Linked DNA regions of Macaca fascicularis. The protein of the gene in region 1 purifies or fractionates together with the protein of each later gene. This does not show direct contact. Links are inferred from orthologs where the notes say so. Each region holds a gene or a part of one and is shown in the gene's direction. Other genes may lie near its edges. The genes, in order: PTP4A2, CNNM2, RABGGTB and CNNM4.

Region 1 (7,362 bases):
TGTAATCCCAGCACTTTTGGTGGCTGAGCAGACTGATCACGAGGTCAGGAGATCGAGACCATCCTGGCTAACACGGTAAAACCCCGTCTCTACTAAAAATACAAAAAATTAGCCGGGTGTGGTGGCGGGCGCCTGTAGTCCCAGCCACTCGGGAGGCTGAGGCAGGAGAATGGTGTAAACCCAGGAGGTGGAGCTTGCAGTGAGCCGAGATCGCACTACTGCACTCCAGCCTGGGTGACAGAGTGAGATTCTGTCTCAAAAAAAAAAAAAAAGGGGGTAAACGTAACTATTATTGGGGCCATTATTCTTATCCTTATGTTGTTAATGTTGTTATTACACTATTTTATTTCAGGGCCAGAAGGAGAGCTAGGTGGAGGGGAGTGTCATTTACTTGGTCAAACAATCTACTAGATGAAAACAAACAAGCAAACAATCTGCTAGACTGCCCCAAATAGATCCATCTAAGCGGGGGAGAGTCTGAAAACAGGCAATTACAGTATTATGTTAAGTGCTATGGTAGAGGATTGCACAAGGTGTTTTGCAACTTTATCGGAAGAATCAATAACTCATAGACGCAGCAAAAGTTTTGCAGAGGAGGTAGCTCTTTGTTTCAAATCAGTCTGTGTTTCCAGGAAGTAGAAAATACTGCTTGCTGGAGGCAGACAGAATGCAAGTGAGCCCAGTCTGTGCTCCTCACCCAGGGGCCTTGCTACTGATCTGCAGCCCCTCTTGCTCCTCAAGGCCTCTCTCAACTCCCACACAGCCCTGCTAACCAGCTTTGCCCTAGAATACCCCCTCCTGGGCCACCTGCTGGTGGTGAACATCCTGGACTCTGCTCTGTGGCTTGATGCGGCTGAGTCATAAGACCTTTCATTTTACTGCTAAGCTCTAATGGAAGCCTTCTGGTCAGTAGCAATGCCCCAAGTCTACCTTGTGGGGAAGGTCTAATGATGACAGATTACTGCTTCTCCCCGCAGGGCTGGATGAGCATGGATGTGGTGGTGAGGTAGGGGAGAAACACCCACGGGGGCATCTTCATTTCTTCCTAGATAGGAGCCAGTTCTGGGCAGGCAAGACTTCCCAGGAGTGGACAGAAAGAACAGACCCTCCCCAACCCGCAATTCTCAGGGGGAGACATCTCCCTTCCTCCCAAGCCAGCCCCCAATGCCGCACTTTGCCTGTCATCTGGCCGTGGCCCAAACCAGCCTCCCAGCTCGCTAGTGACCACATTTTCCAAACCAAAACTCAGGACGCATGATCTGGCAAAGAATTTCTGGCTAGCTTCCAAATGCAAGAGGCAAAAACCTTTCCACTTGAGAATCTCTATGATAATCTGCGTCGTTAAAGGTGACATTAAGTCGGAAACCTTGAAATTCAGGGTCTCCTCTTTCTCAAGCGTTTTGTTTTCCTTTTTTTTTTTTTGAGACGGAGTCCGGCTCTGTCGCCCAGGTTGGAGTGCAGTGGCGTGACCTTTGCTCACTGCAACCTCCACCTCCTGGGTTCAAGCGATTCTCCTGCCTCAACCTCCCGAGTAGCTGGGATTACAGGCGCGCACCACTATGCCCGGCTAATTTTGTATTTTTGGTAGAGATAGGGTTCCACTATGTTGGCCAGGCTTGTCTCGAACTCCTGACCTAGTGATCCGCCCGCCTCGGCCTCCCAAAGTGCTGGGATTACAGGCATGAGCCACCGCGCCCGGCCTTTCTCAAGCGTTTTCATACGTTATTATCGATCGTGAAAGCGCCCATGAGGTTGCTGATTATTATTTTCACTTTATAGTTGATAATACTTGGAGAGAGGGAATCACTTGCCCAAGATCCTACATCCTGAAAGTCTGAATTTTGGCTTGTCAGGGACAGTTCTTAGGATGTGTGTGTGTCTTGTGGGCAGAGCCGGGGGTGGCGTATTAATATCCTCCACGAAGATGCACACGCCATTTATTTGGGGCCTCAGGAAGGGCAGCCAAGAACTGAGCTGCCCGGGTTCCCACTTCTGAGTTGGAAATCCCCAAGCACAGGACTTGGTGGCCACCCTGTCCCATCAGGATCTGACCCCAGGCCTGACGGCCTAGGAGCGAGAAAGAACCCTTCGACCTTGCGGGTCACACCTCGGCTGCAGGCCCTCGACCCAGCCCAGGTGCGGATGGGCGGGGCGCAGCGTGGGCGAACGACTCCCCAGGCCACGTTCTGCTTTTCCCTCCCCGGTCACATGGACTCGCCTTCCGTAGCCGGGAGTGCGGAGCAGAACGAACCACCAGGAGGAGGAGCGGGGGAGGTGCCCAGGGCAGTGGGTCAGAGCCCCGCGGGGCAGGTGGGCGGGCCCAACCGCCCGCGAGCCGGCCGGCCAGCCAGTCAGCGAACGCGGAGGGCGGGTCAGCTGCCCATTGAGCCGCGCCCCGCAGCGACCCCTGAGGGGCGGCGGCGGCGGCGGGAGCTGGTTCCGGCTGCGCGCGCAGCGGTGGTGGCGGCGGCGCGATCGGCCGGGCTGTAACCGTCGTCCGTCCGGGAGCGGCTGGAGCGGCAGCGGCGGCCGGGCACGGCGCGAGGCGACGCCACAGGGCAGCGGCGGCAGCGGGGGCAGCGGCGGCAGCAGGAGACGCAGCGGCGACCGCAGCAGCAGCAGCAAGACGGACTCGTGGAGACGCGCCGCCGCCGCCGCCGCCGGGCCGGGCCGGGTGTCGCGCGCCGAGGCTGGGGGGGAGTCGTCGCCGCCGCCGCCACCGCTACCGCCGCCGCCGCCGCCGCCGAGGTGACTGAGGAGAGAGGCGCCTCCTCGCTCCCGCCGCCGCCGGACTTCAATGCCCAGTCCCCAGCTCGCCAGCGTGAGTGCGCCCCTCCCGGGCGGCCCCCGCGCCGGCGCCGGGGGCCTCGGGGAAGGGGAGGGCGGGAGGCGCTGCAGCCATTAGTACAGGCCGGAGACACGTCCCCGGAAGGAGGGCCGGGCTGGGCCGGGGCGGGGGAGCGAGGGTGGGTGAGCGAGGGGCGGGCTCGTGTGTGTGGAAGGGGGAGAGCTGTGCGAGCGTGGGGGAGAGTGTGAGTTGGTGAAGGGAGGGCGTGTGAGTGGGGGACAGGGCTGAGTGTGCGAGGAGGTGGGGGGAGTGGGAGCGGGTCGGGGGACAGTGTCGATGTTGGGGGAGTGTGGGTGCAGGCGGGGGAGGGTATGAGTGTGCGGGGAGCGTGTGGGCATGAGGGGTGGGGGTACATGAATGAGAAGTGGGGGAGGAGAGAGTTGAGAGTGTGGTAGAGAGCGAGTGTAGGGGGAGAACATGGTGTGTGTCGGTGAGAAGGTGCGTGGCAGAGGCGGGAGTGTGGCAGGGTGTGCCGGCGTGTGTCCAGTGTGTGAGCAGGCATCCTGGAGGCCCTTCCTCTTCGTCTTTGTGTGTGGCGATAGTGAACCGTGCTGTGTTGGGTTAGGGAGTTCTTTCCGGGAGCATCTTGTCCCTGGGTGCTCAGGTTCAAGTATGAGGAAAGGGGGTATAAGTCTCTTCTAGTGGCACTATGATCTTCTGGCTCTGGGATTTTAATTTTTTTCCCCCCCAGAAAAGATGTGATGTGTTTTTTTTGTTGTTGTTCTATACGTTTTTTTTCTCCCACGTTTCATAACTTCAAAGTAAATTTTCAAATTTGTCAAGGATGCCATCCTATCCTAGTCTGGGTCCCTGAGAGCTAACGAAAAGAAGTTTGTCTGTTGCCCAAGAGCCTACACTCTGGCCTGTAGAGTGTTCAGGAGCATAAACTTTTGTAAAGTACTGCTAGTTTTTCAGGTGAAGAGTATTTTATTGTTAGGTAAATTAAACTATAGGCTAGTTTATTATTTCCTGGAATTTGTCAAGAAATTAGCAGTGACCCGCAGTTCTAGTGTCACTGTAGGCATTCAGCAAATGTTTGTCTGGAGTCACCAAACTACAACCACTGCTGAGTTGGAATATGGTACTTGCTGTCATGCTCTGTAACAGAGTAGTTTCAGAGGGAAGTGAGTGAAGTTATGCCTTGCCGAATGTGCAAAAGGAAATTAAGGATGCAGAATGACACATTATCAGGGCTTCAGAATCACTTGCCAGCACACCATTGTATTGGTGAAGATGGTGAGAAGTTGTTTGCTGGTATTCTGATCTTGGCATTTTTAAGTTTCATAATGAATGGACTAATTATTGTCATGGACTTTTCCCATTCTTGAGTTGTAAAAGTAGGGATTCTTGATGAAGAGTAGTACCTCGATAGGGATTTTACACTTTGATATAATATTAAAAATGATGTTATCTTAAAAATAATTGTCTCTTAGAAGTTGGTAGTCTTTCAGTATAAGCAAAAAGTAGTATGGTCCTTTTGTTGTTGTTGTTTTTTTTTTGAGATGGAGTTTTGCTCTGTTGCCCAGGCTTCCCAGGTTCAAGTAATCTCCCGCCTCAGCCTCCCAAGTAGCTGAGAATACAAGTGTGCGCCACCACACCCAGCTAATTTTCATAGTTTTAGTAGAGACGGGGTTTCACCTTGTTGGCCAGGCTGGTCTCGAACTCCTGACCGCCACTGATTCACCTGCCTTGGCCTCCCAAAGTGCTGGGATTAACAGGCGCGAGGGTGGTCCTTTTGATCGTGAACATAATAGAATTACAGGCAAAATCATTGATGTGTAATTAAAAGTTAGAATTTATATTTTTCGGCTGGGCGCGGTGGCTCACGCCTGTAATCCTAGCACTTTGGGAGGCTGAGGCAGGAGGATCGATTGAGCCCAGGAGTTCAAGACCAGCCTGGGCAACGTGGTGACTCCATTTCTACAGAAAATACAAAAGTTAGGCATGGTAGTATGTGCCTGTAGTTCCAGCTATCCTGGAGGCTGAGGCGAGAGGAACTTGTGATTTCAGGAAGTCAAGGCTGTAGTGAGCCAGTGAGACCCTCTCTCAAAAAAATAAGAAAGAAATAGTAAATAGTATTGTTACTATTCAGTGAGGGAAGGAATTAATTAGTGTTAATTGCCTACTGTGCTACAGGTGCTTTTTATATTCATTTAATTCTCACAACTACAAGAAAGGTGGTCTCTTCATTTGCATCCATTTGGCTTATTTTGAACCACTTCTGTTTGCCCGGCACTAGGGATACAGCGATGAGCTCCCATGGATTTACAGTGGTGAGAAGAAGAGATACAGAAACTTAAAAGGTTAAGTAACTTGTCCCAGGTCACACAGATAATAAGAATTAGTGCTGGATTAAAAATCCAGGTCTTTGACTCCAAAGCTGTTGATTTTTCCAATACATCATACTGCTGTTTCAATAGCTCATCTTACATTGAGGTTTCTCATCCACATGATGACCTAGCAGCTTGTACTTAGGAGAGCTGTTGAAACTAATAGAGAAGGCTGGAGGCAAGGGGATCATTTAGGAGATGCTGACTGGAGGCTCTTTGGGGCCTAAGCTAGGCTTTTATGTGGGAGGAGATGCTGCCTTGAAACTCTCTTCGGGCTCTGGGTGTGTGCTTTGAGACAGTTTTTATGAGGCATCTGGGATATGTCTGCGTGAGGGAAGTCTGATTAAAGAAATGCAACAGCCTTTTATGTTTTATTTTTTGGAAAAAAGAGAATATATTTATTGGGGCCAAGAGTGAACTAGAGCTTAACCACTGTATGAAAGTTTCTCTGTTGAGCTGTGTGGGACACTTAAATCAGAAGAAGTGAGAATATACATGTGAAAGCATTTTGTTAATTATAAATTGAACTACAGATTTGAAGTATTATTGCCACTAAGATCTTTCTACTAAGGCAACAGATTTTGTAGCTGGAAAAGGCTGGCGTTTTCGAACACCTTTATAGATGAGAAATAGTTTCGAACTGCTGAACGGGGTATTTTCTGACTCAGAACAGCAAAAGTCAGGCCACTCCCTCTGTGAGTCAGTCAAGTAATATTTAATTTGAACAAACCAAATTTATAGGCAGAAACCATTTACAACATCATTGAACTTTGTAGCACTAGGAAGAGTAAATGTTTGAATACTTTTGTGTGTAGCTTTGAAAAAACATAGTATGAGAGCCCCATATATAGTTGACTTGAAAAAAAATTTCAAACAAGGTAAATTGGATTTATCTTTCTTAAGAATTAACTTTATTCATTTTGTCCAATAAAGGTAGTATTTCCTTATGCAGTAATTAAGGAACACTTTACAATTTTCAGACACAAAGTTGAAATTTAGTAGGGATTTATTTTACAGGATTTGAATATACTTTTTCCTTTTTGTTGTAATGTGGGGGTTGGTAACCAGTGAAGCCTAGAAAACTAATGTATTTACAAACAAGATGCAGAGGGAGCAGATGCATACGTTTTTAGCTGTTGCTCTTGGTCTTGGAAGAATGAAGCTTAAGTTTTTCTGAAACTAAGTTTGGTTAATTTATTTGGGTGCTAGTCCATCAGCTGTATTTGTTGAATAGAAGATGGAATCTAGTTTTAACATGGTGGACTTAGTTATGTTTATTGAATAGGGTGATGGTAGAGATCTTGGGGTACTGGTAGAGTTCAGTATTACACTTTTAGGGTTTAGGTTTCCACATTCCCTTCTTATGCCAAATCATGTATTGTCTCATTTAAAATTCAATAATCCTGTAAGTAGTATTCTGTTAGCTTTACAGATAAGGACATTTATTTATAGATTGATTGTTGTTGTTTTTTTTTTTCAGAGTCTTACTCTGTTGCCCCGGCTGGAGTGCAGTGGTGCGACCTCAGCTCACTGCAGCCTTCACCTCCTAGGTTCAAGCGATTGTCCTGCTTCAGCTGGGATTATAGGTGTGTGCCACCATGCCTCGCTAATTTTTGTATTTTTAGTAGAGACAGTTTTGCTATGTTACCCAGGCTGGTCTTGAACCCCTGAGCTCAGGCGCGAGCTGCTTGCCTTGGCCTCCCAAAGTACCGGGATTTGATTATTAAATCCCAGGTTTTAGAATCTAGGTTAAAGATTATCAATAGAGAGCAGCGAATAATTTTTTTTTTTTCCTTTTAGGGGCTTAAAGTTCTTAAATCTCTGTTGAACAATGGATGCCACCAGTTATAATTACTTTGGGAGATGGTGATTTGAGTCTCTTAATCTGTGAAATATTAGAAAAGTCTTGGCTAGGCACAGTGGCTCATTTTGGGAGGCAGACACAGGAGGATCACTTGAGGCCAGGAGTTCGAGACCAGCCTGGGCGACATAGAGACACCATCTCTACAAAAAATACAAAAACTAGCCAGGCATAGTGGCATGAGCCTGTAGTTCCAGCTACTTGGGAGGCTAAAGTTGAAAGGATCACTGGAGCCTGGGAGGTCAAGGCTGAAGTGAGCCGAGATTGCACCACTGTAGTCTAGCCTGGGAGACAGAGGGAGACCCTGTCTCAAAAAAAAAGAA
Region 2 (7,420 bases), on another chromosome or scaffold:
TTAAATATTGTAAGTTGTCTGGGTGTCCTTTCTGACCTTTTTCTTCTATGAAGTCCTGAATTTCTAACTTGCTTCGAAATTGCTGAATGTCACATTTTCCTGTTGTAGCTTTCTCTGAAATGCACAGGAGATGTCTGTAGGGTTGGCAAGCTCCTCCTCCCCACACTTCACTCCTATTCCACACGTGTACTTTCAGCATTTGAGAGCCTGTCTTCTCTCTTAGCTCCCTTAAAAACATTTGTAATATTTCCACTTTTTATGAAGTTAAAATGGTTTCATTTTCAATCCACTAAGTTAGAAGGATCATGTCTGTCCTTAACCTTTGCCAAATATTCTTAAATAATTTTTTTTTCCTTCGAAACTTCCATAATGCCATTCATATAAATGCATGCCAAGCCTGTAGGTGGTTTTCTTCATCTGAACTTACTTTTCAAATATAGCAGTATGAGACTTGGGGTAGGGGAAGCAGCATCATAAATGGAAGGGCTGGAAACTAGATTCAGGGCATTGTTTAAAATAATCAGAATAAATACTTTCACTTATTTAACCTTCTACATATATTGTTTTGAATATCTATCATTGGCTGGGCATGGTGGCTCATACATGTAATCCCAGCACTTTGGGAGGCCAAGGAAGGAGGATCTCTTGAGGCAAGAAGTTTGAGACCAGCCTGGAAACATGGCAAAACCCTGTCTCTACTAAAAATTAAAAGAAAATTAGGCAGATGTGGTGGCGTGTGCTGGTAGTCCTAGCTACTTGGGAGGCTGAGCCCAGGAAGTGGAGACTGCAGTGAGCCATGACTGTGCCACTGTACTCCAGCCTGGATGACAGAGTGAGACCTTGTTTTTTGTTTTTTTGAAAAGAATAAAGAATATCTAGGGCCAGGCATGGTGGCTCACGCCTGTAATCCCAGCACTTTGGGAGGCCCAAGTGGGTGGATCACCTGAGGCCAGGAGTTTGAGACCAGCCTAGCCAATATAGAGTGAAACCCCATCTCTACCGAAAATACAAAAATTAGCTGGGCATAGTGGTGCATGCCTGTAGTCCTAGCTACTAGGGAAGCTGAGGCAGGAGAGAATCCCTTGAACCTAGGAGGCGGAGGTTGCAGTTAACTGAGATCGTGCCACTGCACTCCAGCCTGGGTGACAGAGTGAGACTGTCTCTCAAAAAAAAAAAAAAAAAAAAAAATATATATATATATATATAAATATAATACATATGTATATGACATATCTATATCTATATATCTACTATTCTAGGCCCTTGTGATACAGCAGTGAACAAACAGACACACTTTCTGCCCTCAGGGAGCTTAAGTTCTAGTGGAAGGAGACAGATAACAAACCAAATCAATAATTTACATAGTGTATTAGAAAGCGATCTTTGCTTTGAAGAAAAATAAAGTAGATGCGGCATAGAGGGAGTGTTTTCCACAAGTTTAAAATCAGATGGCTTTTGAGCAAAGCACTAAAGGAGGTGAAAAAGGCTATGCTGACATCTTAAGCCCAGGAAACAAACAGCAAGTGCAAAGTCTCGCAGGGGAAAATCCCTGGAGTGATGGAGAAACAGCTTGGAGAGAAATTAATTTGGCTTATTATCTGTCTCCTTCCACTAGGAGAACAGCAGGTGATGAGGTCCGAGAAGTAACGAGAGGTAGCAGACCTTTGAGCCTACTAGGATGAGATGGGAAGCCAGTGGAGGCGTTTCAGCCAAGAGAGATACAGAATCTCATGGACAAGATCACTTGCTGCTGGGTTAAGAAGGGAAAGGAGCAGGTGTCGAAGAGGGAAGATCAGTTAGGAGGCCACTGCAATCATTCCAGAAATTACTCATACCAGAAATTAATCAGAGACGTTTGACGCATTTATAAAAGCGGCGGGGGGGGGGGGGGGGGCCGGAATGTGCTTGTAGAATACAAAAGAGGTAGAGAAACATTAAACATTTTTAATGTTTTAAGTTTCAAGGAAAAGATCAATTTGACAGCTACTTTGCTACCTCGTCACCTCCAGGTGACGCTGGGAGTACTGGGGAGCTAGGTTTCCAGAACTTTTTGCTCTTGAGTGACCTATGACCCTAGCAGAGTTTGGCCAGTGTGATTAAGAATGAGCCTCTGCGGGTCTGCTTAGGATAGGATGCTTGCCGCCCTCCCATTTCCTTAACTTGCCTGGGTTCCTGTTGGGAATACAGATTCGGGGCCCTTCCCACTCTGTAAATATGGAAAAGGGTCTAGGAAGTATATACTTTTAGTAATAATATGTAGGGGTTCTATGACTAGCAAATTTGGGGAACTGTCCCTCTGACCGCGCCATCCGTAACTTTCTGTACACCTTTCGGGGTATGCCGCGGACCTGGAAAGCGTTGCAGGGCGCTCCTGCGGCCCGCAGGTGGCGCCATGTGATCGCGAGCCGCAGAGAGCGCGTACCCTAGGAGTCTTGAGGCGCGAGGACTGCTGGTCGGCAGCTGTGCCGGGGCCACCGACGCCGCTTACCCCAGCGGAGCGCCGCGCACGTAGAGTTGGGGACAGCGGCCGGTGCCCCGGCTTTTTAGGCTGTGTGCATCCCAAGCCGCCTCTAGTTGGCTTCTCGGGCCCCCGGGGCAGGAGGGCGCTGCGGCTTTCTGCCCACGAACTGACAACTGCAGAGCCAGCAAGCCAGTGCATCGGGAACCTGCCGCCTTGCGCCGCAGGGCTTTAGTCCAAGCCCGGCCGGTCCAGGCTCCCGGATCTACTACAGGGTCCCCCGGGGAGCGCGGGCCCCGGGGACGGCTCCTTCCCATTGGCAGCAGGACGGAGGCCACGCCCCTTTCCTACAACTCTCATCTTTGACTGGCTCTCGAGTCCCAGCTGGCCACGCCCCCTCCCCTCGCACATACACAAGAGTCACGCGCCTTTCAGTTGGAAACTTGGCGTGCAGAGGGGGACGGTGGCTCTCATCGCCCCACCCATTTACCTTACCATTGGTTCGCGGAACGGCACACGGTCACGCCCCCATTCCAGCCCCCTGGCTGGGAGGGCGGGCGCCCGCTTGTGATTGGCCAGTGGGCCTGCCTCTCGCGGGAGCAGCCGGCGCTCCTCTCCCTCCCTCTGTCCCCTCCCGCGAGCCTCGGGGTTCCTCAGCTGGCCGAGGTCGAGTCAGTGTCAGTCAGGGAGGCGAACTGCTGAGCACTGGCCGCGGACGCTCAGTTGCAGTCTCGCCCAGGGGCAGGTACCTGCGCTCGCGCCGCCGGGTGGAAAGGATGAAGCCGCAGCTGGAGCAGCCACCCTATGATTGGCTGTGGCGCTTGTGAACCCAAAGTAAAGATGGCGGGCGGGCAGGCAGCCGCCGCACTGCCCACTTGGAAGATGGCGGCGCGCCGCAGCCTCAGCGCCCGCGGCCGGGGGGTCCTGCAGGCGGCTGCGGGGCGGCTGCTGCCGCTGCTCCTGCTGAGCTGCTGCTGCGGCGCGGGCGGCTGCGCAGCGGTGGGCGAGAACGAGGAGACGGTGATCATCGGGCTGCGGCTGGAGGACACGAACGACGTGTCGTTCATGGAAGGGGGGGCGCTGCGGGTGAGCGAACGGACCCGGGTCAAGCTGCGGGTGTACGGGCAGAACATCAACAACGAGACGTGGTCCCGCATCGCCTTCACCGAACACGAGCGGCGGCGCCACAGCCCGGGGGAGCGCGGGCTGGGGGGCCCCGCGCCGCCGGAGCCGGACAGCGGCCCCCAGCGCTGCGGCATCCGCACCTCAGACATCATCATCTTGCCCCACATCATTCTCAACCGCCGCACCTCGGGCATCATCGAGATCGAGATCAAACCGCTACGCAAGATGGAGAAGAGCAAGTCCTATTACCTGTGCACGTCGCTCTCCACGCCCGCCCTGGGTGCCGGCGGCTCGGGATCCGCGGGTGGCACCGTCGGGGGCAAGGGCGGCTCGGGGGTGGCCGGGCTCCCGCCACCCCCGTGGGCCGAGACCACCTGGATTTACCACGACGGCGAGGACACCAAGATGATCGTAGGCGAAGAGAAGAAATTCCTGCTGCCCTTCTGGCTGCAGGTGATCTTCATTTCGCTGCTGCTGTGCCTGTCGGGCATGTTCAGTGGCCTCAACCTGGGGCTCATGGCCCTGGACCCGATGGAGCTGCGCATCGTGCAGAACTGCGGCACGGAGAAGGAGAAGAATTACGCCAAGCGCATCGAGCCGGTGCGCAGGCAAGGCAACTACCTGCTGTGCTCACTGCTGCTGGGCAACGTGCTGGTCAACACCACGCTCACCATCCTGCTCGACGACATCGCCGGCTCGGGCCTCGTGGCCGTGGTGGTCTCCACCATCGGCATCGTCATCTTCGGGGAGATAGTGCCCCAGGCCATCTGCTCCCGCCACGGCCTGGCTGTGGGGGCCAACACCATCTTCCTCACCAAGTTTTTCATGATGATGACCTTCCCCGCTTCCTACCCGGTCAGCAAGCTGCTGGACTGCGTCCTAGGCCAGGAGATAGGCACCGTCTATAACCGGGAAAAACTGCTGGAGATGCTCCGGGTCACCGACCCCTACAACGACCTCGTTAAGGAGGAACTGAACATCATCCAAGGGGCGCTGGAGCTCCGCACCAAGACGGTGGAGGACGTGATGACCCCACTCCGGGACTGCTTCATGATCACTGGCGAAGCCATCCTGGATTTCAACACCATGTCTGAGATCATGGAGAGCGGCTACACCCGCATTCCAGTGTTTGAAGGGGAGCGCTCCAATATCGTGGACCTGCTGTTCGTCAAAGACTTGGCCTTCGTGGATCCAGATGACTGTACTCCCCTGAAAACCATCACCAAATTTTATAACCACCCCTTGCACTTTGTTTTCAATGACACCAAGTTGGACGCTATGCTGGAAGAATTTAAGAAAGGTGGGAAATTTTGGTCTCTTTCATTGGCTTGCTCTTTCTCTCTCCATCCTCTTCCCTACTTGAGCCCTCTACCCTCAGACCAACCCCCCAAGGCGAGTTGACCGGGATTTCTCCTTCTCTCTCTTAATTGCAAAGTTGAAAGGGTGGCGTGGATTTGGGGATGGATTGAACTAGTAAGTGCTACTAGGTTATTTTAAAGCACAAGACTGCCATCACTTACTTTTTACCATTATCAAAAAGCAGGCTGTGTAATTTCTGTGCATGACACTTTTTTTTTTTTGGTTCCGTGTGTGGGGCCTCTGTGCTTGAGGGGTCTGCCGCCTTCATTGTCTGGGTTCTCAGTGGGTAGGTGAAGGTAGGGGCTGGCTGATGCCATGCCATTTGGTTGACTTTAATCACAGGCATTTGGAAAACATGTAAATAGCTTTTGTAAACTCAGTGCAGTCGTTTTCCTTCTCCTTAAACATCCACACTGGCCTTTCAAAGATCGAAGTACATTTTCTATAGCTTCTGTTCCTGCTTGCCTGGCAACTTACGGGGAAGATTGAGGTCTGCCTTTGAGGGTAAGGGGCGGGGTAAACTAAGTATCGCCAAAAAAATCACCCATTTTCGATGTGACTTCTCTTAGCTAGAAAAGTGTTGTTGTTGTTGTTGTTTTAAATTAAAATTACTAATATGTAACTTGGAAAGACTAGCGGTTAGCCAGCCTTTTGTGAAGAGGCTGTATGTCCCGTAGCCTTCTTCACTATTTGTTTACGTTTATCTGACAATAGTTACAGTTGCCCAAACCAAGTGTGATTTTGGCAGAAAGCTTGCACCTTTAACAGTGGGATGAATCCCTCTATTGGGGCTTATTTATTTCTTGACTCTTTCAGTCTAAGTGTTCTTTTTTTCCACCTTGGTCATCCGATACATTAAACTGAAGTATGTCTCCGTCAACTCTCACTGTTCCAAGGTGAGAAATTATACAACACATCATTTCTTGCATTGTGGTATTTGTTCGCTTGACCATATAATGAACAGGTAAATAGCAACTTGTACTATTATTATTGAAGTTCTGAATGTTTCCAGTAAAATGTTTCCACTATTTCAAATAGTGTTATTTGAAAACCAAGGGATGCTGAGTTTTTGAATTATTATGATGCTAGTGCATGTGCGGGTACTGAAATGTGTATGTAAACTTTCGTGACCTAATAGTCCTCAAAACCAAGTTTTCCTTCTTCAAATAGAATTTTGATCACTGGTAGTAGTCTCTCCTCTGAAGAAGGTGATATGTACCTAGTGACAGCTCACTGGATATGATGATCTGAACATACTCAAAGAGCATATGGTTGTCCTAATTCCGTTTTTCTGGTTGAATGATGCCCTCTTTAGAACAGGATCTCATTGTAGTAATTTTTTTTTTTTTTTTTTTTTGAGACGGAGTCTCGCTCCGTCGCCCAGGCTGGAATGCGGTGGCACAATCTCCACTCACTGCAAGCTCTGCCTCCCAGGTTCACACCATTCTCCTGCCTCAGCCTCCCAAGTAGCTGAGACTACAGGCGCCTGCCACCATGCCCGGCTAATTTTTTATATTTTTAGTAGAGACAGGGTTTCACCATGTTAGCCAGGATGGTCTCGATCTCCTGACCTCATGATCCGCCTGCCTCGGTCTCCCAAAGTGTTGGGATTACAGGCGTGAGCCACCGCGCCCGGCCACATTGCAGTAATTTTTATACAAAGGAAAAGAGCAGAATGTGTTTTGAAGATTGGTAAATTTGCATTTAAAAGCAGGAGGTTCTTCTGGTTTCTTAAATAGTAAAAAGAAAATGTCCAGTATCTCTAGGTGACATAGCTTCTTTTGGGGGTGTCATTCTTTCACCATTAAGTTGTTAATTAGAGCATCTAACTTCTTTCATTTTGCAGTAATGTCTGTAATACAGAAAGATATGTTGGAATGTTTGGAAATGCCCCTAAAAGTCTTTCTATTGCTAAATTCCCCAATATTGATACAGGTGAGTGATTGCTTGAGTTTTTTATTACTTAGAATTTTGCACATTTACTCATGAATTGATGACACTAGTTTGTACTTCTTGCTGAAGTCTTTTCTTCACTTCTGTATCTTTTTACCTTGAGAATTTCGTTTTTCACCTCACAGCTCCTTAATCCTGTCCCTACTCAAAATTTCAAAATTTGTATTATTTTGAAATTTGTGCTTGATTGACCTTGAACAATTTTTCTTGATGGATTTATTTTCACGAGGAGCTCTTTTTCCTTCAGAATTACCACTTAGTATTTTTTTGAAATGTATTCTTTAAATAATGGAATTACTAATATTTCCCCATGAATTCTCGAAAAATAATAAGGTACAAGATTTTATTTTTGTCTTTAACCAGAATGATGTATTTGGTTAAGAAGATAGTCCAAGTTAAAGACATACATTCAAGCTAGTGGCACATTCGGAAGAGCAGGCAAAGATAGTTGGTTGCAAATGGGAAATTTAAGCCATGATCTTAAAAGGACAGAATGGATATTTGTTACTTAAACTATGGGAATAA
Region 3 (7,563 bases), about 44 Mb from region 1:
TAAAAAAGAGCCCACATTGCCAAGACAATCCAAAGCCAAAAGAACAAAGCTGGAGGCATCACGCTACCTGACTTCAAACTATACTACAAGGCTACAGTAACCAAAACAGTATGGTACTAGTACCAAAACAGAGATACAGACCAATGGAACAGAACAGAGGCTTCAGAAATAACACCACACATCTACAACCATCTGATCTTTGACAAACCTGACAAAAACAAGACGTGAGGAAAGGATTCCCTATTTAATAAATGGTGTTGGGAAAACTGGCTAGCCGTATGTAGAAAGCTGAAACTGGATATCTTCCTTATACCTTATATAAAAATTAATTCAAGATGGATTAAAGACTTAAATGTTAGACCTAAACCCATAAAAACACTAGAAGAAAACCTAGGCAATACCATTCAGGACATATGCATGGGCAAGGACTTCATGACTAAAATACCAAAAGCAATGGCAACAAAAGCCAAAATAGACAAATGGGATCTAATTAAACTAAAGAGCTTCTGCACAGCAAAACAAACTACCATCAGAGTGAACAGGCAACTTACGGAATAGGAGAAAATTTTTGCAATCTACCCATCTGACAAAGGGCTAATATCCAGAATCTACAAAGAACTTAAATTTACAAGAAAAAAAAAATGCCATCAAAAATTGGGCAAAGTATATGTACAGACACTTCTCAGAAGAAGATATTTATGCAGCCAACCGACACGTGAAAAAATGCTCATCATCACTGGTCATTAGAGAAATGCACATCAAAACCACAATGGGATACCATCTGACACCAGTTAGAATGCCAATCATTAAAAAGTCAGGAAACAACAGATGCTGGAGAGGATGTGGAGAAATAGGAACACTTTTACACTGTTGGTGGGAGTGCAAAGTAGTTCAACCACTGTGGAAGACAGTGTGGCAATTCCTCAAGGATCTAGAACTAGAAATGGCATTTGACGCAGTGATCCCATTACAGGGCATATACCCAATAGATTATAAATCAAGCTACTATAAAGACACATGCACACATATGTTTATTGTGGCACTATTCCCAATAGCAAAGAATTGGATCCAACCCAAATGTCCACCAATGATAGACTGGATTAAGTAAATGTGGCACATATACACCATGGAATACTATACAGCCATAAAAAGGATGAGTTCATGTCCTTTGCAGGGGCATGGATGAAGCTGGAAACCATCATTCTGAGCAATGTATCACAAGAATAGAAAACCAAACACCACATATTCTCACTCATAGGTGGGAACTGAACAATGAGAACACTTGGACACAGGGCGGGGAACATCACACACTGGGGCCTGTCATGGGGTGGGGGGCAGGAGGAGGGATAGCATTAGGAGAAATACCTAATGTAAATGATGAGTTAATGAGTGCAGCAATCCAACCTGGCACATGTATCCCCACGTAACAAACCTTCACAGTGTGCACATGTACCCTTAGAACTTAAAGTGCAATTTAAAAAAAAAAGTAACTTCCAATATTTTTACTATTAGCACTCTCTGAAGAAGTGTTTGTGGTGGTCGTGGTGGTGGGGGGAGGGTGGTCTGTGTTTGTGGGGGGGGGGGCGGGTATAGGGCTGGACCTTGAGATGGACAAGACAAACAGGAAGGAAATGTGAACATTTCATTAATATTCATTTTAAAAAGATTCATTGAACACTTACTATGTGCAAACAGGCACTCTACTAATTAACAGCCATTTCAGATTTTCAGAGTGCAAAGGGCCTCAAGAACAAATTATTTATTTTTATTTTTTTGAGACAGGGTCTTGTTCTGTCTCACACCCTGCAGTGTAGTGGCATGATCACCGCTCACTGTAGCCTCCACCCCCCACTCCAGAGCTCAAGTAATTCTCTCACCTCAGCCTCCACAGTAGCTGAAACCACAGGCTTGGGCAACCACGTCTGGCTCATATTTTTATTAATTGTAGAGACCGGGGTCTTGCAACATTGCCCAGGCTGGTGTGGATCTCCTGAAACTGCCTTTGCAAAATTATAGCTGAGGAAACTATGGCAGTGAAAGAAATCAGACCTAACCGACTCCATTTTGCTTCTAACTTTTAAGCTGTCCTTGTTCATTCCTGAGCCTAGGCTGAACCAACTTAGGAAGGAATTCAGTTTATTGTTTGACTCTGAAACAAAATTGTTAATATCCCTTTCCCAAAAAAACTGCTTGCTTGCCTGGGGACCAGTCTGCCTTTGCAGGACTAACAGATTAGCTACAAGATTAGAAATTACAGTTTAGAGGTCATGCAGCCTCTGGCTCCAAGTGTCTGAATCTCCCCAGATTGCTCCTGGGGATAACATCACTATTGTAAAATCTAAGATAAGTGCTTGACATATTTTGCAGACCCTGCTTTCCATGGATCAGCTGAAACCACCCAGATTGGTAATTTGGCCCAATCAGTTCTGCCATCCTACCCAGGAACAGAAAACAGCAAGAAAAACTCACTTCTACCCACTATGAGTCCATCTTTAACCTGACCCATCAGCACTCCCTACTTCCCAAGCCCCTACTCGCCAAATTATCTTTAAAAACTCTGATGACTAGTAGGGGAGACTGAGTAAGAATAAAACTCCAGTCTCCTGCACAGCAGGCTCTGCATGAATTACTCTTTCTCCATTGCAATTCCCCTGTCTTGATAAATGGGCTCCCCGACAGCAGCAGGCAGAGTGAACCCCAATATTGGGTGGTTACACTTCTAGGCTCAAGCAATCCTGCTGTCCGGCTTCCCAAAGTGCTGGGATTACAGGCGTGAGCCACCACGTCCAACAGGAACAAATGATTTCTTAAAAGCAACTCAAATATTTAAATATTATTTAAAACTGTTTCTGGACAAATCGGAGGGACTTTGGGACAAGAATATGGTCGCGGGACTTTGAACGCAGGCAGTGAAGACACCTATGAGCCATCAGTGGGGTCCTACGGCAGCCGTGGATCTATTCTGCCTTGCAGGCGAAAGTGTGGTCAGCTATATCGGAGCGCCATGGGGGCCTGAGTGGCGCATCTGCGCAGGCGCCGGGCTCCTAAGTATACCCAGGAACTGACCCTGCTCTCTCTTTTCCCTGTTAGACATGGTAAGTGTGAGTCAACCGCAGCTGTCCTGATGGGTTGGTAGCAGACAGGGTAGGGTAGGGTAGGGTTGAGTAGGGTTAAGCACACTGGTCACCTTAGGATTGGTTTCCTGGTGCTGGAGAATGATTAAGACACAGGCCTTGAAGATTTTTTGAGTGTGAAATATTACTCAGCATTTTTTGCAGACCTCGCGGGCAATGCCGCTTCTGATTTTATCCAGGCCTTCTGTAGGGAGGGCCTGTTAGAGTTGAGCAGCCCGATTTCTTAAACCCTCTAAAAAGCTGGGGCTGATTGGTGGCTTTTTTTTTTTTTTTTTGGAGGGGGGATGTCAAAAATTTCTTTAAAATCGTTAGTGATGTGGTCTCGCTTTAAGATTTTTAGTGGGATCAGAGGAAAATTCGGTACTTAATCACTTCCGGTAATCTTCATGACCTATTATTATGACTACTGTGTACTCTCAATGAGGAAGATAAAGATACGAAAAGAACTAGAGCCACATCACATGGGGACTTATGCAAATACAGAGACTCGGATTAAAGGTGGAGAAGATGGAGCTAAAGGAACTACTTATTTAATACATTTGAACAACTTTTGGGGTATTTAGAAGGTGCTTTGAAACCTGCATTTGATAAGCAAAAATTCGCTTGCAAATTAAGGGCCAGTTAGATAAAAAAATATGTATATATGCTCTCTGCCACATGTAAACCGTAAATTGTCCTGAAATGATAAGCTTTGATATTCTATGGTGTTTATTTTTTACTTACCTTTTTGAATGAAAAGTGAACAACAAGCAATGCTGGTGGTAATTTTTTGGGTCAATGATGAGCTGGCATGTATTCTGAATCTAAAGTTGATTATTAATACTTTAGCTCTAGAATTACTCTGAGACCTGAAAATTACCTGAATCGTGACTAAGATGGAGCTCGAATGACTTAAGTTCTTTTTTGTTAGATAGAATTTTTGTTTGTTTGTTTTGTTTTTGAGTCAGGGTCTCCCGTCGCCCAGGATGGAGTGCAGTAGTACAACCTCAGTTCACTGCAGCCTTAATTTCCTGGCCTCAAGCGATCTTCTACCTCAGCCTCCCTAGTTACAATTTTTAAATGGAACATTTTCCTATTACAAGATTAAACGAAGTGAAAATTGAGATGTATGTTGAATCTGTGCTGTGGGGCAGAAGAACATTGTAGAGGTAAACATTGATAGATTACTGCTTTTTTATTTTGAAAGGGCACTCCACAGAAGGATGTTATTATCAAGTCAGATGCACCAGACACCCTATTATTGGAGAAACATGCAGATTATATCGCATCCTATGGCTCAAAGAAAGATGATTATGTATGTATGATTTTATGTTGGAAAGTTTATTTTAAAGAAGTGTGACAGTCATAAGCGGTGATACAGTATTTATATTTTATGTCTTAAAATGGCATCCAACTCCATGCAGAGAACTGAGGATTTCCTGTGCCTTTGAACTTCAGTTAAGTGTGCTTTGGACGTCTGAGATTGTGGGCTTATTAGAATCGCAGTATTCACCTATACTGAGAGGGCTTGCCAAAGTAGATAAGGGTTTGAGGTACAAAACGGGTTTCCCTTTTTGTAGTTAGAAGTAATACTTTCAAGGTCAATGATGTTTTGGCATGTATTATCTGAATCTATTGCTGATGTGTAATAACACTTTAGCTCTAGAATTACTCTGAGACCTTGAAAAGGTTTTACCTTAAATTTTTAAATTTCAAGGAAAACTCTCTGGGACGATCTGAGCAAAAAGTAGTAAACAACTTAGTTACAAGTAAATGTTTTTCCCTGTAGTATCCAAACTCAGTTGTCTTAAGCTTATCTACCTATTTGTGGGATGTATGTATTAATTTTTTACTTAAGTGTTAGGTTCCCATAACCTTGAAAATACTCTAGTAGCAACGTTGAAAATACTCTAGTAGCAATCATGGAGTTAAGGCCATATGGATGGGGCTGGACTCGTTTCTGCCTTTATCTGCTATCTATGCCCTGAATTTGGGTTAGTAGCAAATTAAGATGTACCACCTGTTAAAAAAAACTTTTTTTCCTTTTGGGAGGTATAACCTCACTTTGTTGCCCAGACTGGAGGACAGTGGTGCGATCTGGGTTCACTGCAACCTCCACCTCCTGGGCTTAAGTCAGCCACCTGAATAGCTGGGATTACAGGCGCATTCTACCACGCCCAGCTAGTTTTTGTATTTTTGGTAGAGACAGAGTTTTGCTATGTTGACCAGAGTGGTCTCAAACTCCTGACCTCAAGTGATCTGTCTGCCCCAGCTTCCCAAAGTGCTGGGATTACAGGCAGGAGCCACCACCCAGCCACAAAACTTCTTAAAATGTAATGCATTGTTGAGTGTGGGAAAAATTTGTTTCTGGAATCCTAATACTAATTTTCATCTATCATTGATTAGCCACTGTTTTATCTGGGCGTAGACATCTTTAGAATGTTTACGGCATTTTGATTTTTCATGAAGTTATATAATTTCCTAATAGATAGTAAGTTTTGTACAGAGTCCACATTAAAATAGATGTCCGATAAATATGGTATAGGTACTCGGAAAGAAATACTGTCCCTGAACTTCACTGATGAAAAAGGTAGATGCTTTTCTGTCTTTGGCTCATGGGAGAAACTAAAGCCCTGTTTGTATTGTCAGCCATAGATGAACTAATCCTGTGCTTCTCAGATAATTGTTTTTTTTGTGATTAATAGTTGTGTCTGAAGATGGCCTCTAACGTTGAGCGGCACAAATTTTAAACTCAATACTGATTAGTGCCATTAAGGTCAGGAGAGGTAAAAATAGCAGCATGGCTAATAAGTTACCTTTGTGTTTGATCTCTTTATAACCTGTTTTCAGTTCAAATTGACACATTTAAGAATTGTGTATTATTTTAGGAATACTGTATGTCTGAGTATTTAAGAATGAGTGGCATCTATTGGGGTCTGACAGTAATGGATCTCATGGGACAACTTCATCGCATGAATAGAGAAGAGATTCTGGCATTTATTAAGTCTTGCCAACACGAATGTGGTGGAATAAGTGCTAGTATCGGACATGATCCTCATCTTTTATACACTCTTAGTGCTGTCCAGGTAAATACTAATTAAAATTGCAATGATCTTGATAGTGTGTTCTCTTACTTCAGAGTTGGAAATTGAAACTATTAGGATTTGGTCAAAAAGTTTTGTTACAAGTGAAGCTGTCCTACAAGGTCAATGATGTAATGGCATGTATTAGCTGAATCCAAAGTTGATGTGAGTTTCTAAAATTACACTGAGACCTTGCAGGGTAAAATTTTTATCTTCAGTATGTGTAAATACTGTTAAATAGCTAAGTGGATCTGTTTGATTTTGGTATTAGTGAACATCTACCTGGTTTAAAGTCTTTCTGGTGCTGGGTGCTGAGATGGGAAGATCAGGACTTTGTGTGTATGTGAGTTAGTACATTTGAGTATCTTGGAATGCCAAGTTAAAGTTTATATGTAGAAAAATTATACTTTAAAGATTTGAGTTTTGATAATATCTGTAATTTTATTGAATAATAGGAGAGTCTGCATATTTGAGAAAAGGCTATATACAGAGACAAAAGGAGCGCTTGGCAACTTAAAAAGAGTTGAGCATAAGATTAGAATAAACCTGAAAGGGGTATTTACCTAATACTTGTCTTTATTGCAGATTCTTACACTGTATGACAGTATTAATGTTATCGACGTAAATAAAGTTGTGGAATATGTTAAAGGTCTACAGAAAGAAGATGGTTCTTTTGCTGGAGATATTTGGGGTAATGTCAGATTTAGTCCATTCTACCCAAAATACCAATATTAAAGTGTACTGGTTTTGCTAGTAACCAGTTTATAAGTTTTTCATCTTTTCAGGTCCCACTAAGCAGCTGGTCTAACTGGAGTTAATGGTCTGCTGGAACTTCCAGCATGCACTGTGGTAGTTATATCAGCATACAGGAGCACTGGAACAGAGGGGGCCAGTCTAAAAGATAAGGTAGGTGGAATTTTTTTTCCCCAATATTTGGTGGCTTTGTAAAGTTTTTTAAAAACTACTTGCTGGAAAGGGAAAAAAATTTTAAAAAAACTTTACAAACTTGCTGAATATTTGAGTGGAGGGAGGGAATAGAATTGTATTTGATAAATGTAGATAATCTCTGCTTTAGGGATGAACACAGTGCAGGCCAGAGAGACCAGCTGCTTCATGGGATGTGAAAAATCTGCTTTTATAAGGTAGGGTAAGTTTATTGCATTATTAGAAATTGCCTAATACTTTTGGTTCTATTAGTTTTCTTCTCTTTCTGGGCATTCTTTAAGCAGCTTAAGATAATTTGCTGTGACTTTTTTGTGGCAGGGTCTTGCTCTGTCCAGGCTGGAGTGCAGTGGTGCAGTTACTGCCCACTGCAGCCTTGACAGTCCACGCTCATGATCCTCAGGCCTCAGCCTCCTGAGTAGCTG
Region 4 (6,812 bases), on another chromosome or scaffold:
GTACCAACATGATGCTCAAAAGAAAAGCTCGCTGGAGCGTTGTGTAGTTCAGATTTTCAGATTTGGGGTGCTCAATGGTGTATATTCTGTGAATATTCCAAAATCCAAAAATAATCAGAAATCTGAAACACTTCTGCTCCCCAGTGAGGAATAAGGGATACTCAGCCTGTCAAAGCTGCCTTGCTTTAATTCCCATCCCCATGTGGTGACATCGTTTAGCTGGATGCCCAGGCCCTTCCAGGCACTGTCTTTCTCGAGGGCACTCCTGTATGGACAGCCTACAGCAGGTACAGAGGCCTGGGGACAGACCCCGGGGTCCTGGCCTGGCCCGCTGCCGCCCTGCTGGAGGGCCTCACAGATCTCATGAACTTGTTGGCTCATCTCTAGGAAGATACTGGGGAATTTTCTTTTTTCTTTTTCTTTTTTTGAGGCAGACTCTCGTCGTCTCCCAGGGGGAGTGCAGTGGCGCAATCTCAGCTCACTGCAGGCTCCGCCTCCCAGGGTCACGCCATTCTCCTGCCTCAGCCTCCAGAGTAGCTGGGACTACAGGCGCCCACCACCACACCCGGCTAATTTTTTTTTTTGATATTTTTAGTAGAGACGGGGTTTCACCGTGTTAGCCAGGATGGTCTCGATCTCCTGACCTCGTGATCCGCCTGCCTCGGCCTCCCAAAGTGCTGGGATTACAGGCGTGAGTCACAGCAACCGGCCGATACTGGGGAATTTTCTTTTTTTCTTTTTTTTTTTTGAGACAGAGTCTGGCTCTGTCGCCGAGGCTGGAGTGCAGTGGTACGATCTCAGCTCACTGCAAGCTCCGCCTCCCGGGTTCATGCCATTCTCCTGCCTCAGCCTCCCGAGTAGCTGGGACTACAGGCACCCGCCACCTCGCCCGGCTAGTTTTTTGTATTTTTTAGTAGAGACGGGGTTTCACCGTGTTAGCCAGGATGGTCTTGATCTCCTGACCTCGTGATCCGCCCGTCTCGGCCTCCCAAAGTGCTGGGATTACAGGCGTGAGCCACGGCGACCGGCCGATACTAGGGAATTTTCAATCGAGTCCAGCCATGGCTCTGTCTGGCAATGCGCTAAACGTTTTTCGACCAGAACCTGTAGTGGGAAATACATATATCATTGCCCCGGCATGTGTGTGAAAAGCTTTCACAACGCAGTGCTCGGCCCCATCACGTGGGGTGTATTGTGAGAATTTTTACTTTAGTCATGAGATCTTGCATTCTCTCTGTTCTCCCTAAGAGGCCCTTAGAAGTTGTGACAGCCCATCTTGGGCTGGGGGATTTTCTGTGGCCTGAAAGACCTGGCAAACATCCTCCACCGAGGGCATTTAGGATGAGTTCTTTAGTCCCCAGAGCGAGGCGCTTGGACTGTGAAGGGGAAGCCCTGCAGAAGACCCTGACTTGACCTTCCCAGATTTCCGGGGCCTTTCTTCCTAGGCTGCTCCAAACCTGCGCTCCTGCGAGTAGGGCACGGCACACAGGATTCATCCCACCTAGACTGTGGACCCGGCCCTTCTTGGCTGGCCCCTGTTGCCACTCGCTGGGGTTGGGGCCATAAGAGCAGGGTGTGGCCTTCAAAAACGGGTCTGGGAAGACCCACCACCCCACAGGGTTTCTGTGGAGGGTCCTGTCCCACCTCAGCCTCCTTCCCTCACTTTGGGTTGAGGGGGTGGCCCCTCTCTGACTGTAGTCTCTGCCCCACCTAATCACAGCGCTTGGCCGCTCTGTGCCTTTGTCAGTTTGGGTCTTTCCCCTCCCCAAGAGTCCCAGAAGCCCCTGATAAGAGGCACCAGGCAGGGTCTTTTTTTCTTTTTTCTTTTTTTTTTTTTTTTTTTTATGGGACAGAGTCTTGCTCTGTTGCCCAGGCTGGAGTGCAGTGGCGCGATCTTGGCTCGCTGCAACCTCTGCCTCCTGGGTTCAAGCAATTCTCCTGCCTCAGCCTCCCGAGTAGCTGGGACTATAGGTGTGTACTACCTTGCCTGGCTAATTTTTGTATTTTTAGTAGAGACAACCATGTTGTCTAGGCTGCTCTCAAACTCCTGGCCTCAAGCAATCTGCCTGCTTCAGCCCCGCAAGGCGCTGGGATTACAGGTGTGAGCCACCGCTCCCAGTGCTGCCATTTTTATCCTATTTGTTTATTTATTTATTTATTTATTTTTGAGATGGAGTCTCGCTCTGTCACCCAGGCTGGAGTGCAATGACGCAATATTGGCTCACTGCAAGCTCCACCTCCCGGGTTCACGCCATTCTCGTGCCTCAGCCTCCCGAGTAGCTGGGACTACAGGTGCCCGCCACCACACCTGGCTAATTTTTGTATTTTTTTTTTTTTTAGTAGAGACGGGGTTTCACTATGTTAACCAGGATGGTCTCGGTCTCCTAACCTCATGATGCGCCCGCCTCGGCCTCCCAAAGTGCTGGGATTATAGGCTTGAACCACCATGCCCGGCCCTCATTTTTATCCTATTTAAACAAGTAGTCCTGGCCTGGCATGGTGGCCTATGCCTGTATCCCCAGCACTTTGGGAGGCTGAGACGGGAGGACTGCTTGAGCCAGGAGTTTGAGACCAGGCAGAGCAACATAGTGAGACCCATTTCTACAAAAAATAAAAGAGTTAGCCGGGCGTGGTGGAGCACACCTGTGGTCTCAGCTACTCGGAAGGCTGAGGTGGGAGGATCTCTTGAGCCCAGGAGTTGGAGGCTGCAGTGAGCTATGATTGTGCCACTGCACTCCAGCCTGGGTAACAGAGCTAGACCCTGTCCTTCCCCCACAAAAAAAGAGAAAAACAAAAAAGCAGTCCTTAACGAAATGCTTTTAAAAATTACTTTTAGTTTTCCTTTTCATAAAAGCAATGTCCGTTTGTAGTAGAAATGTCAGGAAAGTTGCAAAAGAGAAAAACCGCCATGACCCCATCCTGGTGACCTATGACCCTACATCTAGAATTAATGTTTTGGTTGAGGGAGTCTCATGACTGGCCTCTGGACTCTTGTCTGACCTGCTTCTTTGGCCCACAGGGAAGTCCCACCTGGCCATCGTGCAGAAGGTAAACAACGAGGGTGAGGGCGACCCCTTCTACGAGGTCCTGGGCCTGGTCACCCTGGAGGACGTGATCGAGGAGATCATCAAGTCGGAGATCCTGGATGAGTCCGACATGTACAGTGAGTCCAGCCCTCCACAGGGCTCAGGACCCCTTTCCTGCTTGGATCGAAGCCTGGTGTCCCTAGCTGGAAGGGCCATAGTGCAGGACACAGGAGGCCTAGCATCCCGAGGCCCGGTGGCCAGGTGCCCTGCACTGGCCGCGGTGAGCAGGGAGCAGGTTACTGAGAGCATTGCCCGGAGGCTACCTTCACCCTTGGCCTCTGTGCCTTGGGGACCTGCCAGCCAGAGCCCGCTGCTCCTGCGTGGGACTAGGGGCTGGAGAGCAGGAGCTGCGGGGCGGGTCTCTTCCTGAGTCCTCTGGGGTCTGTGTTCTCATTTCCACGCTCTTCGTCCGGCAGCTGACAACCGAAGCCGGAAGCGGGTGTCTGAGAAGAACAAGCGCGACTTCTCCGCCTTCAAGGATACGGACAGTGAGCTCAAAGTGAAAATCTCCCCGCAGCTCCTCCTGGCTGCTCATCGCTTCCTAGCCACAGGTAGGAGCGTGAGGAGGACCTTCCGGTCTTGGTGGAAATACGGTCACAGGGGGAGAAGTCCTGGGTCTCTGGCTACTTTCCCCTCATAGGACGAGGGCTGCAGCAGGTGAGGGGTGCAGAGACAACACAGCCACCCCTGGAAGGGGCCAGGTGCCTACTCCACCCCCGGGGATCTCCCTGCGATTCGTTTGCCATTAATGGGCAGCTACTGCAAACTTCTAGGAAGCATCCCGGTTATTATAGTTAATAGTTTGGGAAATAATGACTAAGCACTATGGCTCACACCTGTAATCCCAACACTTTGGGAGGCCAAGGGAGGAGGATTGCATGAGCCCAGGAGTTCGAGACCAGCCTGAGCAACATGGCAAGACCCCATCTCTACAAAAAATCCAAAAGCCAGGCAGGGTGGTGCCCTCATGTAGTCCCAGCTACTCAGGAGGCTGTGGGATGGGACAGTTGCATGCCTGTGGTCTCAGCTACTCAGGAGGCTGAGGTGGGAGGACCGCTTGAGCCCAGGAGTTTGAAGCTGCAGTGAGTTCTGAATGCGCCACTGCACTCAGCCTGGGCCACAGAACAAGATTCTGTCTCAAAAACAACAAAAAAGAAAATAACTACTGAGGTGGGCCCCTAGGCTGGCCAGGCCCATCAGGGCTTGTGGAATGGGAAGAAGGGATCCTTCCCCTTCTGCAGGTCTGCTGGGTGCGGCTGAACCCCTCGTGCGCTCACCCACTCTGAGGAGCTTGCGTCCAGCTCTGCTCTCATCTCTCCAGCCCTCCCCTCTGCAGACGTGTGCTGGTTCCTGCAGGAATTCACCTCTAGTTCAGAGACATTTCTCTTTTCCGCCCTGATTCAAAGCTCCGTTGGGGACTTGGGTGACAGGTTCTGTTCTGCCCTCCCTGCCCCCTCCCCCACCCCACCCAATTAATCTTCCTTCCCACCCCTTACTTGCTAAAGGGATGGTAATTCCCTCTCCATTATTTTTCCTGTGGGATATCGATGCTGATGCAATAATTATAGTCACATATACTAAGCGCTGTCCACGTGCTATCCCATTCGCCCTCACAACCACCCTGTGAAGCTTTTACCCCCATATTACAGATGAGGAAACTGAGATGCGGGTTATATAATTTGCCCAAGGTCACGTGCTATTCTTGTAGGAGCCACTGTTCAAGCCCGGGCAGGCAGGCAGGCAGCCTCGGGTCCATCCAGTCAGAAGCCAAGCGTGCTCCCTCCCCAGGGAGATACAGAACTGAGGGCCGGCCGAGCAGGGAGGGAGTCTGATCACAGCACGGCTATTGTGGTTGGGGTGGACGCACAACAGTGATCGAGCTTTAGGGCCACCTGGCCAGCCCCGTGTAAGGTCTCCTCTCTGTCCTCCTACAGAGGTCCCCCAGTTTAGCCCCTCCCTGATATCAGAGAAGATCCTGCTGCGGCTGCTCAAGTACCCAGATGTCATTCAGGAACTCAAGTTTGATGAGCATAATAAGTACTACGCCCGCCATTACCTGTACACCCGAAATAAGCCGGCCGACTACTTCATCCTCATCCTGCAGGTGAGCCCACTCAGCCCTGGGCCTGCCGCCTGCTCCCCCTGGCACCGCAGCACCCCTCGGGCCCTCTTTCCCACCTGCTGCGGAGGTGCATGGCTTCCCGGCCTGGGGAGCCTGCCGCCTGCCCTCGAGCCCCACCTGCCCCACGTGGCTGTGCTCTCCCTGACAGGATGAAGGAGAGGCTGTGCTCTCCCTTAATCCCACAGGTCAGGCCCCTGAGCTCTCCAGGGCTCCAGTACCGGCCCTTCCTCCTGCCCCACCATCCCTTGTTCCTTACTCCCCATCCTGCCTCATCCTTTCTTTCCTCCCTCACTCTGTCTCTAACCCCAGCCCTGTGTGTTTTCAGGGGAAGGTGGAGGTGGAGGCAGGGAAGGAGAACATGAAGTTTGAGACGGGCGCCTTTTCCTACTATGGGACTATGGCCCTGACCTCGGTCCCCTCTGGTGAGTTGTTGGGCAGGGTCTGTGCTGCACTCTGGCCCCCTGCAGCTGGGGAGCCGTGGACAGACACCAGAACTGAGCGTGGGCCCGAGAGCTCATAGCCAGTTGGCTGGGGCCGAGGGAGGCTTGTGAGGTGGGAGCCGCCAGGGCCTGGAGTGGGTGGTATGGAGGAGCGGAGGGAGCTGCCCCTTTGGATGGAGTCCAGAAACCGGAGGGGAAGAGAGGAGAGAGGGATTTTAGAGCAAAGGCCAGGAGGCAGTGGAGGGCATGTCCAGAGGTGGTGAGGAGACCAGTCTGCCTGGGGAGGAGGCCTGTGGGGAGGAAGGCCCAGGGCCCTGCTCCTGAGGACAGGAGGGGAGTCTGGGCGTCCAAAGTGCCTGAGGTCAGGAGCCAGGCGAGGGCCTGTTTGCCAGGGCAGGCTGCAGATGGGTTTGGCTTTCCGAGGGACGCGGCTACTGGGTTTTGGTTAGAGGTCAGCTCCGATGGAATAAAGGGCCCTGGGGACAGACAGAAGGGAGACTGGGCACCCCCTGAGAGGTGTGATGGAAGGTGTGGGGACGCGCCGCTCTGGCCGCCCCAGTGCCCTCTCCGGTGCTGAGTGGCTCAGGCTTTCCCCGCAGAGCCCCGCAGACAAAGCCCTGCAGGCCCAGGCCTCGCCAGCTCATCTCCTCGCTCCTCTCCAGCCTTGGGTCCTGGGGCGAGGCTGCTGCAGGGTAGAGAGAGAAAGTCCACTTTGGTGCTGGAGAACAGGCCACGCCAGTGGGGTACATGCTGCAGTTCCCAGAGCAGCTCTGTGCTGTGCCTCATTGTCCTTTGACAGAAAGGACCCCGAGGGGGCATGGGGGTAGGGCACCCATGAATATTGACACCCAGCTCAGCTTACCCACCGTGTCGTCGGCCCCTCCACCAGATGAGTGGGGCATGGCAGGCTCCCTGGGCAGGGGACAGACAGGGCCCCAGAGAGGGGCTCTGAGCAGGTGGACCCTGCCAGATGCCTGAGGCCTGGGGAGGACTTCCTGTGCCTCCAAGAGCAGCTGTTCTCTGTTCAGCTTGAGGAAATCTCGTTCAGAAGGGCGGGCAGGCACGGGAGGCCTCCCCCAGGCACTGCTTGTGCAACGAAGCCTCGGAGGCCTGGTCCCTCCACCCGTAGTCTCTCTGTTCCCACTTAGTGTGGCCAGAAGGGAG

The links.
Region 2: the proteins of PTP4A2 (region 1) and CNNM2 purify together in Homo sapiens (affinity purification with mass spectrometry; 4 studies listed by BioGRID and IntAct, counting the BioPlex papers as one, with this or other methods). This does not show direct contact. The link is inferred for Macaca fascicularis from reciprocal best matches to the Homo sapiens genes PTP4A2 and CNNM2.
Region 3: the proteins of PTP4A2 (region 1) and RABGGTB purify together in Homo sapiens (affinity purification with mass spectrometry; 3 studies listed by BioGRID and IntAct, counting the BioPlex papers as one, with this or other methods). This does not show direct contact. The link is inferred for Macaca fascicularis from reciprocal best matches to the Homo sapiens genes PTP4A2 and RABGGTB.
Region 4: the proteins of PTP4A2 (region 1) and CNNM4 purify together in Homo sapiens (affinity purification with mass spectrometry; 6 studies listed by BioGRID and IntAct, counting the BioPlex papers as one, with this or other methods). This does not show direct contact. The link is inferred for Macaca fascicularis from reciprocal best matches to the Homo sapiens genes PTP4A2 and CNNM4.

The regions. Positions count from the first base shown.
Region 1 is NC_088375.1:203,093,859-203,101,220, forward strand, and holds the start of PTP4A2 (protein tyrosine phosphatase type IVA 2), read left to right. Parts: upstream 1-2,451; 5' UTR 2,452-2,797; coding exon of another isoform or gene 2,798-2,821; intron 2,822-3,003; exon of another isoform or gene 3,004-5,151; intron 5,152-6,658; coding exon of another isoform or gene 6,659-6,764; intron 6,765-7,362. Other genes in the region: uncharacterized protein, read left to right, coding at 2,798-2,821, 6,659-6,764.
Region 2 is NC_088383.1:111,947,458-111,954,877, forward strand, and holds the start of CNNM2 (metal transporter CNNM2), read left to right. Parts: upstream 1-3,084; 5' UTR 3,085-3,262; coding exon 3,263-4,883; intron 4,884-7,420.
Region 3 is NC_088375.1:158,878,823-158,886,385, reverse strand, and holds the start of RABGGTB (geranylgeranyl transferase type-2 subunit beta), read left to right. Parts: upstream 1-3,021; 5' UTR 3,022-3,092; coding exon 3,093-3,095; intron 3,096-3,906; exon of another isoform or gene 3,907-3,985; intron 3,986-4,320; coding exon 4,321-4,428; intron 4,429-4,712; exon of another isoform or gene 4,713-4,796; intron 4,797-6,001; coding exon 6,002-6,199; intron 6,200-6,317; exon of another isoform or gene 6,318-6,390; intron 6,391-6,781; coding exon 6,782-6,887; intron 6,888-7,563. UniProt on the Homo sapiens protein: Catalyzes the transfer of a geranylgeranyl moiety from geranylgeranyl diphosphate to both cysteines of Rab proteins with the C-terminal sequence -XXCC, -XCXC and -CCXX, such as RAB1A, RAB3A, RAB5A and RAB7A.
Region 4 is NC_088387.1:1,804,668-1,811,479, forward strand, and holds part of CNNM4 (metal transporter CNNM4), read left to right. Parts: intron 1-3,019; coding exon 3,020-3,163; intron 3,164-3,502; coding exon 3,503-3,637; intron 3,638-5,020; coding exon 5,021-5,190; intron 5,191-5,533; coding exon 5,534-5,630; intron 5,631-6,812. UniProt on the Homo sapiens protein: Probable metal transporter. The interaction with the metal ion chaperone COX11 suggests that it may play a role in sensory neuron functions. May play a role in biomineralization and retinal function.